Lepisosteus oculatus: one gene and its partner. The protein of the gene in region 1 interacts with the protein of each later gene in a biochemical or structural test. Links are inferred from orthologs where the notes say so. Each region holds a gene or a part of one and is shown on either strand. Other genes may lie near its edges.

What was found. The genes of interacting proteins can lie anywhere in the genome.
Region 2: the proteins of lyn (region 1) and faslg form a complex in vitro, tested with the Homo sapiens proteins (2 studies listed by BioGRID, with this or other methods). The link is inferred for Lepisosteus oculatus from reciprocal best matches to the Homo sapiens genes LYN and FASLG.

What each region holds. Positions count from the first base shown.
Region 1 is NC_090701.1:49,187,433-49,195,577, reverse strand, and holds the start of lyn (tyrosine-protein kinase Lyn), read right to left. Parts: upstream 3,109-8,145; 5' UTR 3,024-3,108; intron 1-3,023. UniProt on the Homo sapiens protein: Non-receptor tyrosine-protein kinase that transmits signals from cell surface receptors and plays an important role in the regulation of innate and adaptive immune responses, hematopoiesis, responses to growth factors and cytokines, integrin signaling, but also responses to DNA damage and genotoxic agents.
Region 2 is NC_090704.1:31,524,198-31,532,085, forward strand, and holds the start of faslg (tumor necrosis factor ligand superfamily member 6), read left to right. Parts: upstream 1-4,859; 5' UTR 4,860-5,143; coding exon 5,144-5,401; intron 5,402-7,316; coding exon 7,317-7,362; intron 7,363-7,681; coding exon 7,682-7,738; intron 7,739-7,888. UniProt on the Homo sapiens protein: Cytokine that binds to TNFRSF6/FAS, a receptor that transduces the apoptotic signal into cells. Involved in cytotoxic T-cell-mediated apoptosis, natural killer cell-mediated apoptosis and in T-cell development.

The DNA.
Region 1 (8,145 bases):
AAAGATAAAAGCACTCCCCCTGTTTCTCTCACTGTAAAATTTATTAAGCATTCCCCCAAAAGGAGCATTTATGGACATTTTTTATAGAAAGTTACAATACTGGACATTACTACAGTTATTAAAAAGTGGTCAAAAAAGCCCACAAAATCTGTGCAAACACATATTAATTCTCTCAAATTTCATTTGAGACCAAAGAGAAATGCTCAACGTTTTAAAAAAAAAATAATTGTAGGAACCCAAATAAACTGTCACATCAGAAAGAACAATAAAAAGCGTCGAAGAAAATAGACCTCATAGTTTCTAAACAAAGCTGTTCAAGAGACGATGAAACCACTGAAAGAGCTGGACTTTAGATTGAGAAATGCTGGAGCTGAGACGTCACTGTATTTTTAGATGAGAGCCAGGAAACAGGCAGGGTGCTATGGTCAGATTATCATGGTAACCCTTCTGCAATTGATGTGCTGTATTTCCTCCTCTGAGCTGGGCCATTTGTGCAACAACTCTGACATGTCAGGGGAAGACTGCTGATTCAGATAGTGAGCAGGGTCTTACTACATACAGTAGATAACATGCTGTTTAATGTCCAATAAAATAAAAGCTTATGTAGATAACCACCTGAGAGCTAATACCATCATCAACACGTTTTGTCTCTTTTCAAATGCTAATCCCTATTCTTAATGGCATTTTAGCAAGCATTTTCAAGGAACAATGCCAGATGACATTCAACTTGTTTGGACATTTTAATGTATGTTTTAAACAAATGAGCACACCTCACAAATGTCACAACGGCACAGTTCTTCTTGCAAAAAGGAAATTCTCCATTTGACACACATTAGCTGTTTCGGACCTTGCAAATCATCAAACTCAGCATTTATAAACTTGGCACTACAGAGGGTGATTGGTACCTCCACTCTTAAACTGTCTGATTTTGATTTATGTGGCTTATAGTTAAATAAAATGGACACAGAACCAAATTGTAAGGTTTTACTGCTATCTGCATTAGTGTAATACTGTACTGTATGTGCAGTAAGTGAGCCACAAATTGTGCTGATTGTTTAAGACATCCTCTTATGTCTTATACTATGTTCAAAACACACAAAGTCAAAGCTAAAGCGCAAAACATTACTGCAGCCCCACGGCAGAGGACAACCTGCTCAGTCTGAAAATGATAATCCTGCCAAACCAACAAATTAAGACTCGTTCGAAGAACGACCCCTGCTACTACAACACATAAAGTAGTATGACATGAAGCGTCTGTACAAAAAGATTTCAACAAAACAAGATACAGGTAGATAAGGTAAATTGATGGTATATTGATATAGAATACATTGTATATGTAGGCATTGCTTCCATACTTCAGCAAGGTATTCAGCAGCACAAACTACAAACAGGACTCATTCTTTATCTTATCTGTGGAAGTGATGCTTATGAAAGTACTGAACTAGTGTTAAACTATCAGACAGCACAAACATTTATTATACAATACTATTGTATAGAAAAGTCAATGTGGTTTAGAAAAGATACCAAGCTAAAAGTGTTGAAAACCATCTCTGGGCAATGCGTGTCTAAAACACATGACCACCTGTTTTCTTGCATTTCCTGTGAAGTATGTGGGTTTTGCATTAGGGGTTATAAGCTACTCTCCATTGTTGAAAGGCAAATAATAAGCTACATACTAAAACATTTACAGAAATATAATACATGACATATTTAAAAACAACTTTGCTGATAAAGTCCACAAGATATTTTTAATAAAAGTATAATTCTGCATGCTTGTAAATAATTCATGATGGCATGAATAAAAAACAACCAAAATTTCAATGACATTCAGTTTTTCATGACATCTTTTTTCTTTACATTTTATAGCAAACTAGTATTGAATAACATCATTATTAGGAATACAAATATTCCTAATAAACACACTTTGTTCCAGTGTCTTGAAGTTAAAATCTCAGTACTTCCAGACACCTCTTCTTCAAATTATACACCTGAAGATTCCAGGTGTATAATGAGTCTGCTGAAATGATTGATATTAATGTGAACAAGTTGACTTTTTACTGTTATAGTATCAAACCTAAATAATTTATGGATAGATTTCTAGATGTTGTTGTGTGTTCTGTATTGTTTTTGCTTTATGAACCAGTTAAACAAAATGTTAAAAACTGTAATGTTTGGTTTGCTTAAGCTACCTATCCTGAAAATCCTGAAAGCTATGGTATCTTTCCTTAAATACACAACAAGTATGACACAAAAATTATACTATTTGTGTTTTAGTTTAGCCAGCATTTATTAAAGTACATCTCTAACATTACTTTACCCCATAACAAAGTAAAACAATAAAACGTGAACTTAAAAATTAACAAAAGAAGAGTTTCTAAAATATTAACATTGCCCAGAATTCGCTATATTTTGTTGTTTTAAAAAAAATCATACGATGTTTGTTACATAGAGAAACCCATGATATTAAAAATCTGAAGCACTTTGCACAGTCATAGAAATACAATCTTATTCTGCTAACATATCTAGAAACATACGTGTTGGGAGGCACACACATCGACACCTACAAATGGTTTCAAGACAGCCCTCTACTTCAGTGCTTATTCACGGACTGTACATTAAGTCAGATAAAACACACTCTGCTCCTAGAAGACGTTTATTGCATTTTACTTGGGTTTAGAAACTGTTGTGTTATTAAAAGACGGTAAAAGAATGTACTTTACACGTACAGTGCTTTGAAGATATGGAGCATAATATTTCCATGAAAGATGATAATGATTATGGAGATGATGCAAATACTGTCTTTATTAATAGACTGTAAAAACCAACGGGAAAACAAACAGCTGAACCGAAGTAACGTTTTTAAAAAACTGTATCAAATAGAACTCTTACCACCTTAATTTCAGGTACTATTATTGAAAGAAAATATCTTTTTTTTAATGTCAAGAATTGAGTACAGAATGGTGTTACCACCAAACTTAGTATACTAGTAACTGTTTAGGACTATAACAAAATAATTGACTTACTTTTGTAAATTATAGATCCTTGTTCTGTCCAGTAATTGGCGCCTTTAAATTGTCGCAGATCAACTATTTTTCGAATTTCACGCGTACTGTTTACACATTTATTCTTCTGAAAAATGAAGTCCAGTTTTAATTTCTGCTGTTAACATCTAGCACACAGAATGAGGAACTTGGTTTTCAGAATTGGTTTGGGAGTTTTTAGTGCAACTTCCTGGTACAATGTTCAGTATGTTTAGCATTTATTTGCATAATACCCCTGCGCTCTTCAAATGTCCGGTCTCTGGAGACCTTTATGTTATCTTGAACACAAGCAAAATTTCTGGGGAAAGCAAGAATACTGGAGTTGCAAGTGCCAACCATTAAAAAAGCATTTCAGGAATTAATGCACTTTTTTTTTAGAGGAGCAAGTTATTAATACTATTTGTAAAAGGATTCTGTGACCGATTACAAAGCGTTGCTCTCTGAAAGTAACGAAATAGTTTTTTTAATGCTACAACAAATCCACGAATTTGACTTCTACAAAATCAGACAAAAACTCATGTTTCTTCTCCCAGTGGCGCATATCTGTAGTGATATAATATTGATACCGCATTGAGAGGTTTTAGATGGATTTTGTATGGATTGTAAAATGGATGGAAATTCAAATACCTATTATAAATTATATAAATTAGGAAACACGTGTTATGCTTTTATGTCCAAAATTCAAAGGATATTTTTTTATAAAAATACCCATTAATTTATTTTTTCGGAATGCTGCAGCAAACTGTTATTTGCTTTTCTGCAAATTTATATTAGGTATAAGTAAGCTGAACAATCAATATAATAAATAGAGTAAACAAAAGCGCAAATCGGAAAACGTACTCATAATGGCCAAAGGCCATAAAAGCAACTACTGTATATGTTCTTCCCTTACAAAACCCTTACGAAGACGAGAGGTCAGCTGGTCTGCTCAGATTTATTGCCACACAACTCAAGAATCTGGTAATTAACGAAGTGAGTAACAAAACTCGAACCGCCTGTTTTGCTTAGTTACTTTATTAAAAACGTTGAAGGCGCTCTATGTAATATGAGTCTCCTGGAGTGAGAGCGAAGGCGATGGAGTTATAATTCTAAAAATAAATTAACAGACACTGTATGGAACAAACAAGCAACAACGTTTTTAAATATTGATTTATCCGTTACCATCCACACCAGGCACCTTTTTTTTTTTTGCTGTAACAGAAGCTGTTGAATCACCAGCATATGCGTGTGTCCAGTACCATACATTTCAAAATCACTCAGAAATGTATCTAGTAATCTCATTTACTGCATCTCTTGCTTCTCTTACATCGGTGAGACAAGAAGAAAACTTGCTAACCGTTTCAGGGAGCACATCAGAGTTGTAAGGATGAAAAATCTCTCCACCCAAATAGTTCTCCATTTCACCTGTCCTGGCCATGATTTCACTGACCGTTTTGTCTGTATCCTTTTACAGGGGTTTCAATACTACTGCTTCAGGAAAAACAAACAAACAAACAAGATTTTCCTTAAATTTGGATGTCTTCCTACCCCCTTTAATGATAGACGGATTTCTTTTTGAGCCATATCCATTCCAATTTTGTCACCTCTCCCCCGGATCTCTGTTTGTTTGGACACTTTTCCTCACCTGCTCTGTGCATTTTTTTCATTTGCTCCTTCCTTTTGTTCACCTGTGCTTTATATCCTTTCTACCCGTCTTCTCTCTTCCTCACACTAGAAGACAGCTCTACAGTCAAAATCTTGTCTCTTCTATTTAAGAATGGAACTAACCTTTACTTGTAACTTTAATTATTAATTTCAGTGAAAAATCCTACTGGATAACCTACTGTACGTAGCAGCTGAGGGATTTTTAGCCTCTTGTATATAGCTATGTGTTAATCACTTGGGTTCATATTCTCTTTAACACAGTGGCTTTCTCATGATTCAGGCTCTTGATGTGGCTTACAGGGGGTTCTATGACTGCTTAGACCCTGATCAATCAGTGACAGAAGTGGCAGCCGATGATTCTTCTATCACATCACTTCCTCATTTGCTTAAGAGACCTCAGATGTTGTCTGTTCCAGCAGATGTACTTTACTGGATAGGATAAGTTCTCGGAGTGTTACTCTGGCCCAGTGTAGAAGCTATGATTGGCCATGCATGCTCTCTATCCAATTTCACAGCCACTTCTTCTCAGGGCTGTGCTGACAAGTCTTTAGCAGAAGGCACTGCTTGTAGAAGTGCCTGGGTTGTAGAATTCAGCTTCTTCCATTCACCTGCCCATGCTTCCCTGAGGCTAGGACGTTTTGGACACAGATGTCCTTGCCATGTATGAACACTTGCCTTGGACTCTCTGCCAAACATGAGCTCTGCTGCTTGTTGCAAAACAGGATATGTAGTTATTCCTATCCGACACCTTACAATAATTCTTTTGTTGCTTGTTCCATACAATTAAACACAACATACAAGCTCAACTGAGACCAGATATCTTCTGCTGATATGCCTGAGCAGATTTCCCAAACTGTGCCATTGATCAAACAACTTACTGTGTGCTAAACAAAGGCAGTGAGGGGTTCAAAAGACACAAATATCTGAAAAACACCACCTGCGATCAGCTGATTGATCAGCAGTTACCTGGTCAAAGTCATCCGTGCAATGTTATCAGCAGCACGTTGTCTAGCCTTATTGCGCATCTTGCATTCTTGTATTTGTTGTTGATCAGATTGATGAAGGTCTGTTTCAATAAAACTAGTGTTTATAACAGATATAACATGATATACATGAACAGTTAAAAGCAGAAAGAAGAAACATGATGTTTTGGCTGTGGAGCCTTCTTTAGGTGTGAAGGCTCCACAGCTGAAAAGTTGTGCATCTTCTTTCTGCTTTTCAGCATAGAAAAGAAGAAAGACATCAATGCACTTATGTTGTAATGTTAGTGAACTGTTGCAAATCTCATTTACATATGAGCAACAATTTCCATTACAAGTGCGGACTTCCTAATTCTGGATGGACGTATTGCAAATTACAAAACGAAAGTTATAAATAAGACTGTTACAGTATGTGGCTGTCAGAAAATAAAGCCTGTTTTGCCAGGCAGGCAAACTATTTAGAAATGGAACCATCTATATCCAGCTGGACATGGGGGTCTAGTTCTATCCTTCATGAAAACCATTCATGGATTTTCCATTCCTAAGCACAGAAAATGTGCACAGTGTGACACGTGCCAGCCCACCAGTGTATGTTTATGTGGTTTATCTCCTCTGGGATCCTATCTTATCTTTTAAACATCGGTCTCTTGCAGTCTTCCTAATTCCTCCTGCTCTTCCCTCTCTCTTTTCTTCATTGGGTACGTTCAGCTGCACTCACTAACTCTAACCACTCCACCTCCATGGCACCTGCAACCAGAAATATATGATAAATACTAAATGCCTCCACTGACAGCCTATGCCATGTTGAAGAGAAAGTAACGATCTTGATGAAGCTTTCCCTGACTAGAGTGAAAAACAGCTGGGAATGAGGAGGAAACAGGCTGCCTGCACTATGCCCTGTACTGGTCTGAAAACAATGCACACAGAGATTGGGTGGAAAGTGGATCTGGAAGACAGACGGGGGTCAGACATTCATCGACAAACTAACATTTGAGGAAAACACGGATGCTGTATGTAAGAAGAACCAACGGCATTTGCTTTTCCTGACTTAACTCCGCTCTTTTAACGAGTTGTACGACAGCAATGACATTATTCTACAGAATGTTTACTAAATCTGTTGTCACCTTCACTGTAGCGACCTGGTTTGGTAACCTGGATACACACGTTAAAAACAGAGTAAGCAGGAAGGTGGAGGCAGCTAGCAAAGCCAATGGTGTACAACATCTACAGATGGCAGACGTCTACACCAAGCAAGTTATGCGGTGGCACAGAGCTGACAGTCAAAGCCCAGTGATAGGACACTGACACTGAAATTGTATTTCTTTGCTGTCAGGCAGGGTTTATAATACCTGTCAAATCCAGAATAAACAACATCATTGGCAGTAGAATAGTCATTGTAATATGCAGGCTTGATGCTCCTGAAAAAGGTGCTTAAATCTTCAGTCTTTAAAGGCTGATTTGAAACGGTAAGATTATAAATAACAAAGGTGGCAACATCGAAGCACAATGTTGAAAAATCAATGCACGCTAACTACATCCACACAAAGCATCCACTTTGTAGCACGTGGCTTCTGTCCTTAATGTCCATGACTGCGAATGGCGTACAGCTCTGGTGGACTGCCAAACAACATGAAGATATTACACACACAGCCTGTGCTAACGCCAAGTTTCTCATGTTCCTCCACTGTGCCATCTCTCCTGCTTTAAGTAGAAAACTTACAGTGGTGATGAGATCCTTAAAATAAAACCAATTAAAAAGAATCCAATAGCTTATTCTTAAGACACTTCTGTTTTTGAATATGTAAGATTTTTTATCAAATGGAAAAAAAAAACTAAAAAATGAAATAGTCCTTTTTAAAAACATGGAATAACGTGTTGGCCATTTCTGGTGCTACATTTATACACACCCCAAAAAATAACTTTTTTTCTTCCGTCTCTTTGATCCGTTTATAAAAGACATGTGAAAAAGCTTGTCTTTGCCAACTTAGTGCTTTTTCCAAAGTCACAAAAACTCACATCCTTAAATTGTACAATGAAAACATTTTGTGTAGCAACAAATCTAGCTGTTAACATCTGACAACTGAAATATACTCCACCAGTGAACAAACTACTAGTATTAAGAAAATCTACAAAAATAGTTATGGAATATAATGTTTTAATAGGAACTTTGATCGATATGCCTAAAAAAAAATATAACACTGCCAACAGTATAATTCAAGCTTTGTTACCATATACTGTACATGAATATGGGTTCAAAAATCCAATAATCTTTAAAATAAAAAAAACAATAATGGGATATAGCATGAGCATTACTGATTCACTTTTATAGAAAAGGTACTTTACACAACAAATACATGATAGTTTCAATATTAAACGCTTCTGAAGCACTTAACAGAACAGGTTTAATATTTACAATTCATCAAGAACACTGGTAACATTTCTCAAAATACTTGTAGGCATCTTCTGAAAAATGTATGTAA
Region 2 (7,888 bases), on another chromosome or scaffold:
GAAAAGTGTATTTTAATCACTGGGCACGTACTGTGGGGACATCATATTGAAACCACTGAAACATGCTCAGTTTCTGATCTTTTTCAAAAGCTGACAGAGGAAATGATTACATGATTATAACCTCATTTTTTTTTTGGGGTGGGGGGGAACGCATTGTGTTTTTTCCAGATTTCAGAGTGATGGTTAAGCCTCGGTGAGCAATGTGGTCTCCCCACAGCGATTCTTCGGGTGCGAAGAAGACGTCAGCGAGCGAGAGAAGTGCAGTGCCTTCCAGTAAAACGCCTGGAGTCCCGGCCCCGTCTGCACAGCGAGTGATGGAGCAGGTGGGGGGACTCGGGCTGTGCCACCCGCTTCCTCTCGCCCCCCGCTGCTGCTGCTGCTGCTCTCGAACAGCGTCTGAGAAACTTGTATCCGCTGTCGAAGACCCGCCTTTCATGTGGCTCAGCTCCCTTCCTCCTGCTCTCCGGGCTGCAGTGAGCGAAACCCGTGTGGTATACATCAGCTCTGTTTACAAACATCGCCTGGCAGAGCCGGGCCGGGAGAGCGTGTGCGCGGAGCCAGGAAGTCAAAACTTCAGAGACACAAAGTCGGGTTTCGTGGCCACTCTGGCTCATGCTGGTGTACAAAGATCCCTGCTCGCACACCTGTAAGGACAGCTGCCAGGTGTCCAGGCGCTGCTGCGCGGGTTTCAAGCCGCAGTGATCGAGTACGGAGCTGAGCCAGGGCTTGCTGAGGCATCACGGCCGCCACGTGTCTGCAGACATAAGACAAAGCCAGGCCTGTCACAGTCCTGCACGAGCTCTGGCCGTAGCTGATTCGCCGGGCACCGTCTGTGTGCCGCTTTTGTTTTTGATACTCCAGTGGCACACCAACAAGCAAACTTTCTGTGGGGCTGCTTAAAGAGCATCCACTTCCTTTCCCACAGCACAGCATATTAAAGAAAAGGCCTGATCTGCTACTGTTTTGCAGTGCTTTATGGTCACGGGACATACCTTGCGCTAGGCCTTGCCAGTACACAATGGGGGTCCGTTCATTCTCTAATGTTGTGGCTCCTAGAAATTAGACAGTCAGCTTTCCAATGATTTTTAGCTGAACAAGCCCAGACCACATTTTAGCTCATCACCATTGATGCCTGTGTACAGGAAATGCAATGATGCTTCATTGCTTAAACAATAGTTTCCCTGTGGTTGCACGTCAGGTCTCCCAAGCTCTTTGCTCTTGTGCAGGTTCATTCGAGGTCAGATGTGATGACAGGAACTGTCTTTAGGGTGATTTCAGAAGGGTTACCCATCACTGAGGTTAAGTGATCATCAGGCGGCAGCTCCCTCTAACCTGAGCCTCTGTGATGCCGGTGTACAGAAACTGCTGCAAAACCTGAGACTGTTTTTGGCTTTAGGGCAAGGATTCGCCTCTTATACGTTAAAAATCTCAGTTTGGGGTCATAAGTGTAAATTGCCACTTTGCTCAGAATTTGCGGTTTCCATCTTCCACCCTGTTTACCTCTGTACAGCATTTTCTACTGAATGACTTTCTTTAAAAATTAAAACCCCACAGAGCTCTGAGATTAACAAATGTACAAAAGAAAAATCTATTCAGTCCCTGCGAGGAGACAAGTTTTGTAAAACGTAGAGGGAAAAAAAACGAACAAATTAACATGATTTGAAGTCCACCATTTAAAAAAAGACGGCTTCCCAGCCCCTATAATTTCTACACTAAGGACAGTTGTTTAATATTTGTGATACCATGCAGACTGAAATCACACACTTGTGGTAATGCAATCTGAGTCACCAATTTCCATTATATTTCAAAAAGCGTTTTTTTTTTATGATTCTTTGGTGAAAAGTACGAGACTGGGAGCTTGTCTCAGTGCAGACTTGCTTACAGGAAATGCAACCAATATTTTCTACACAAGTGGCAATTTCCCTACCGCTGTACGTCAGGGTGTCCAATACCTGCCTAAGAATGCTTTCTAAGTCATGATGTCACCTCATGACTTCACACAAATCGGAGATGAGTTACTCAGATTGTGGGGAAGCCATTCAGCCCGTTTCTTCTTGAGCTCCACAGCTGCAGAGCTCTCTCTCCCCACTGCCTCCTACATGTAGACCAGTGCTCTTCCAATATCTGTGCACCTCCTGCAGACCAGTGCTCTTCCAGCATCTGTGCACCTCCTGCATTTGAAAATCATTCGCATGTCTGCACATTGTTGTTAGAACAACTCTCGACCTTCACTGCTCCTGCTTAGAGTTTACAATCCTCCTTGAGACATTGTTGTTAGAACAACTCTCGACCTTCACTGCTCCTGCTTAGAGTTTACAATCCTCCTTGAGACATTGTTGTTAGAACAACTCTCGACCTTCACTGCTCCTGCTTAGAGTTTACAATCCTCCTTGAGCCCCAACATATCCCGTGTCCTGCAGTGCCTTCTTGTGCTCAGGGTCAACTTAAGGGAGGCATTTAAAGGTGTTTGCGTGCTTTTGTGGCCAACTGCTTTGGTGGGTTGAATTAGGACTGGGAACGGGAGGCACATGTTTACAAGCAAGGTTGTGGGATTCTAGATCAGACACCCGAGTCCTGTGGTTAATGCCAGTTCCTGGGGATGTCCTGCAAGAAACAGATCCTCAGATCAATGGGTTATTGTCAGCTGTGGTTACAACCCTACTCTTTTGGAGAAACACCCTGGGATTTTTAATGACCACAGAGAGTCAGGACCTTGGTTTTACATCTCATCTGAAGGACGGCGCCTTTTTATTGTATAGTGACCCCCTCACTATACTGGAGCATTAAGACCCACACAGATCGCAGGGTGAGCACCCCCTGCTGGCCCCACTAACACCTCGTCCAGCAGCAACCTTAGTTTTTCCCAGGAAGTCTCCCATCCAGGTACTGACCAGGCTCACACCTGCTGAGCTTCAGTGGGGCTGACAGCGTGAGTTGCAGGGTGATATTTCTGCTACAATCAAACTCACAATTAGAGGTTTGCAAAGAACCCCTACAGGGGAAAACCTCTGGTGGCCCCAGCGGATCAGACGCCCCCACCCCGGGCATGTTAGCAATAGATATTGATTAGCTGAAATGCCTGAGAGAGTGGTGTTGATGTAAAGGTGGAGCGCAGAAGAGGACGACTGGCCAGTTGTTTAAATAAGGTGAATATCCAGGATGGTTGGGGCAGTGAAGATAGCAGCTCCAATTCTGAAGAAACGAGGATCCAGACCAGCATTGTAGATTGAAACACAGCTGAGGAGAAAACATGTATCTGGGTACTGAAGTATTAACAACGAAGTGGATCAAGCTAGAAAAAATGAGAAGCTGGGGTACAAGTCAGGTCACTCAATTCTAAAAACGGAATACAGACAAACTGGTGGATTGCGGCTCTAAGAATCTGCGGCAGTCAAACACATTGCATCCAGAAGAGCATCCTTGAAGGGGTAAAATGGGCCTTGTCTCGGGGGGAAAAAAGCGGAGGATGTTGGAGGAGATAGGCTTCCCGGAAGGAACTCTTAGAGGTGCTGTCTCTGGATTCCAAGAAATGCAAGATGGAGTGCTGGAATAGAAAGCAGTGAGGACAGCAGAGGGACTGAAACATGGGGCAGAACTGAATCCCAGAGGTAAGATCCTGTTGCGCTTGGAAAAGTGCACTTAAAATGGAAATAAAGGCGGCCGGTGGAATGAGGGAAAGGGAGAGCATGCAGTCCTGGCAGAAGAGTAGGCTGTGGGGGCAGATGGGCTACAGCATGTAGTAACACGTCCACTGAATCTGGGCGGAGATTTGATCCTAGACGACAAAAGAATGCGGAACTCAAAATTTGAAGGGGAAAAGAGCTGAGATGGGCATGAGGATGAGGGATTGGGGTAATTGAGAACGGTAAAAAGCCTTGGTTGAGCATTGGAAAGGCCAGGGGGACGATCCTCGCTAGAGCTGAAGGAAATCCAGGTGAGATGGCGAAGGAAACTTGAAACTAGGGGAAGAGGATCTTCCTTCAGTGGAAATGGAAGAAGTGGATTTGATATCAGAAGTAAGATTGATCACTGGTCCTGAGGTGTCACGGACATGGATGGCAGCAACATTAGGGTAGAGCTCTAGAAGGGCTGATGATTATACGAGGAGAGAGAGAAAACCACTGGGCATTGAATATTACTGAATGACTGACAGAAGCATTAGAGAAAAGGAGGAGGTCATGCAGAGTAGAACACCAATTCTTGTAGAAGAGAGAGGAAGCTCTGGAGACGGAGTAGAGATCACAGTCTGATATCCTTCCGAGCGTCAGCCGATATGGTAACGTGGGCATTGAGAGACGACGGTTGTAGAAAGCGAGAAGATGGGAGAATGTTTTGGCTTGAGGTATAATGCGGAAGTCATCATTTTAATGCGCCGACTAGGATAGCAAGTCACATTAGAGATCATTTCAAAATCTGAGATGAAAACAGACTTTAGAGACCGTTGTCGGGAGGAAGGTGAGCTGCAAATTTAACCGTATCTAAAGTGATAGGGCTTTTCTGCTGGAACGCTCACTAAAAGCAATACCAAAGGGGGAGATCCATTATGACAAAGAGGAGACTCTAGGAAGGAGCCAACGAGAAAACCTTTCACAGCTCAGCTGGAATTGAGGCGGCAATCATCTCAGGCTGCGAGCCTTTATAGGTCTAGCGCTCCGAATTCAAATAAGTTGAATTAAAAAACTTCAGATGTGTGTTAGCAAGGTTAGGGATTAAATGGGATAATTGATAATTGAATGATAGAGGAAGGGGCGGAGCCCTCCACCCATCGGTTTCTATTTAAAGAGGAGTGCTGGCTGGCCTCAGTGTGTGTGTCTCAGAGCGGTGTCGAAAGCAAACGTACATGTACTTGTGCACCCCTGGACACGCGAAAGGGGATTAGCTGAATCTGTCAGTTTCTGAGACATTCAAGAGCCTATCAGAGCTGCCGATCTGCAGGCTGGGAGGAAACTGTGGGTTCTGATCTGAGTCTGAAGTACCTACGTGATTGAAACAGAGTGCAGAGGGAGAGAAAGAGAGAGTGTGTGAGAGGACAACGGAAAGGCAACAGATTAACAGGTCGCAGAGCGTGCAAGCCTGCTCGCAGAGCCGCAGAGCCGCAGAGCCTGAGCGAGACCTCCAGACCAGCCCCCCGGCGTGTGGGACCATGCAGCAGAACCTGAACTATGTCTACCCTCCGATCTTCCTCATGGACAGGGCAGGTCAGGAGGCGGCTGCACCGGCTGCCAACATGGTCCCTACCTGGGTGTCTCTGCCTCCCCCCGCGAAGCAGCCGCAGAGAAGGTGCAGAAGATCCTGCATCACCACAGTGCTCGTCTTCTTGCTGTTTCTGATCCTGTGTGCCCTGGGGCTGGGTGCCTACCAAATCCTGAGAATGCATGGAGAGCTGGCACAGCTCAAGCAGGTCAGCCAGGGAGGGTCTGGGGGTGCGAACTGTCCACTCTGTCTGTGTCCTTGCGGGTGTGATGGGAGCTCCAACACTGTGTTTCCTACTGGCCGTTCGCCTGTCAGAACGTCTGTCCAGTCCTTCTGCCTGAGCGTGCGTGCAATGGTTCTGCGCTGTTGCTAAGAGTGTGGCTGCTTTGGAGGCTTGCTGCTGAATTTCAGAGGTTTTCTGCGCCTGTCCTTCTGTGTGTTATTTTTCATTACGTGTGTGTGAAGTGGTCTTTCTGTGTAGCATTATCTCTGTTTGACAGCGACATTTCACTCGAATGGGTAAACCTCAGAATAAAAAAGAAACATTACAAAGCTAAAGTTAACTAAGTTATTCGAAATGAAAGTTCTACTTAGAACTTTGTAACAGGTCTTTAAACAATTTCCATAATGGAGATTTGGGATGAACAATCATCAGAGACCAGCAGCATTTTTTCAGTGCTTTTAAATGCTTAGAGTCATAAATATATAAACAAATAATAGGAAACCATTTGTGTGTGACTGCTTTGTACCAAGATCTACATCAGCAGATAAGGGGCTCTTCGTATATATGCAGACTATCATCAGATAAGATGTCTCAAGAAAACATAAATATGTACTTTTATGTGTGTGCAGGGAAGCTCAGTGGGACTTGATATGAGATGAGAGATTTGTTCATTTTAATTTGAATCACCCTAACTACTTAAAAGAAAATAAAAATAATAAATAATACATCGTCATAATAACTAAAACATTTCATGCAATCATTGGGTGGTGAATGGGGAGGGTATATGGCCATTTAAAGGAAAGGCAGTTAACACTGGACAGTTAAACATGATTTTCAGTTTGCTGGCAGCTTTAGGTTTCAGTCTTGTGAAACGCTTGACAATCAAATGGAAACTGATGAGGTCTCACAGTGTTACAATTCATTTCCCACCTTCAGGGTGGTCAGAGCTTGATCTCCGACTCCATTCAGATCACGATGGACGTTACTGCATTTTATGAATCAAAACTCAATAGCTGATGTAAAATGAACTCAATTTGCCGTCTGCCTCATCTATCAATCGGCGACGGGTGTCTGCAGTCCTCCAGAGTCAGATTCCTGTAGGTGTTTGCAGTACCTTTCCATTGGCAACTGATTGGGACCTAAAAATTCAAACAACAATTAAGAACTTAAGATTAGAGCTAGAATTAAGACCAAAGAGTCCTTTGGCACTTCAGGAACTTATGTTGTGTTATGTCATGTATCATATCGTATTGTATCATATCATATCATATCATATCGTATTGTATTATGACCGGATGACTCACTTTACCAGTGTGTGGAACCTTCATGTGTGGGGGAGAACCAGGGGGAGAGGAGCAGTAGGTGGTGTTATGTAGGCACAATATTAAGATCTTAACTTAATATTAAACCTTTCTGTGACATTTAATCCAGCGCAGCTGCAGTGCGCATATGAGTGTCACATCTGAGCTGTGGTCAATGGTCTGCACCAACAGGATGTCGCAGAAATTCGCACTGTGAGAAGAATCAGGCACAGCCCCCTGTTACCATCGGCTCTGCATTCGGAGTTTCTGTCACTCGTACGCTGAGAAAGGGCACTAGGGCCCATTGCACTTGATTTTGCACACTAAAACAAGCACAAAACACACACAAAGCAATTTTCACAGGGGTCTGCAGACAACAGAGAAAAAAAACATAAATCTAACAGACTTACAGTAGGTGTTGGGGCTTTCAATCAAAGAATGTCTTCACTTCATTGCTGTATTTATTGAGAATGGCTGTATTTATTGCTGAGATTGTATTAAAATTGAGAATTGATTCAAAAGGTTGAACAGCAAGCAGTATGAGCCCCTGGTTGTTTATATGGAAGTCATACTGAGTCAGTCTCTCCCTCTGTTTCCAGGCTGTAGATTCAGAGCACCAGACGCCTGTGCTGCAGAAACAAGTCGGTGAGTGAACACGCCCTCGTATACTGGCCATGAGTGAGGGCCACACTTGGGCTGATCACCGGTCCCTGCTCTTCAGAGTCAGGATCTGGCCTGACATTCACATACCCCTGCAAAGCCTAACCCACTGAAAGCTTTTGTTATAGTCCTGCTGGAAACGGTGGGCTCCACTCCGCCCTAATTTGCACTTATTCCTGCCTTAGAGTAAGGAAAAATTGATTTTATGTAGGTTTTAAAAGCCATACCAGTGAAAGCTACTGAGATGCTTTGGAATGGGACATCCTGTGAAATGGGCATTAACATACCTCCTGGTTCTTTACAGGCCTACTGGAGACACTGGCAGAAAGGAGAGAGATAAAGAGGATTGCACATCTAACAGGTAAACACTTGGCCACCGCACTGCTTCTGTAGGGATGCAAGAAGTGGGTTTGAAACTAGATTGTTATGAAGGCTCCTGGAAAGCCAGAATGAAGTTCTCTTGGCTGTGGGCCCCTGGTTTTACTGTAAGCACGGAGCAACCTTCCACATT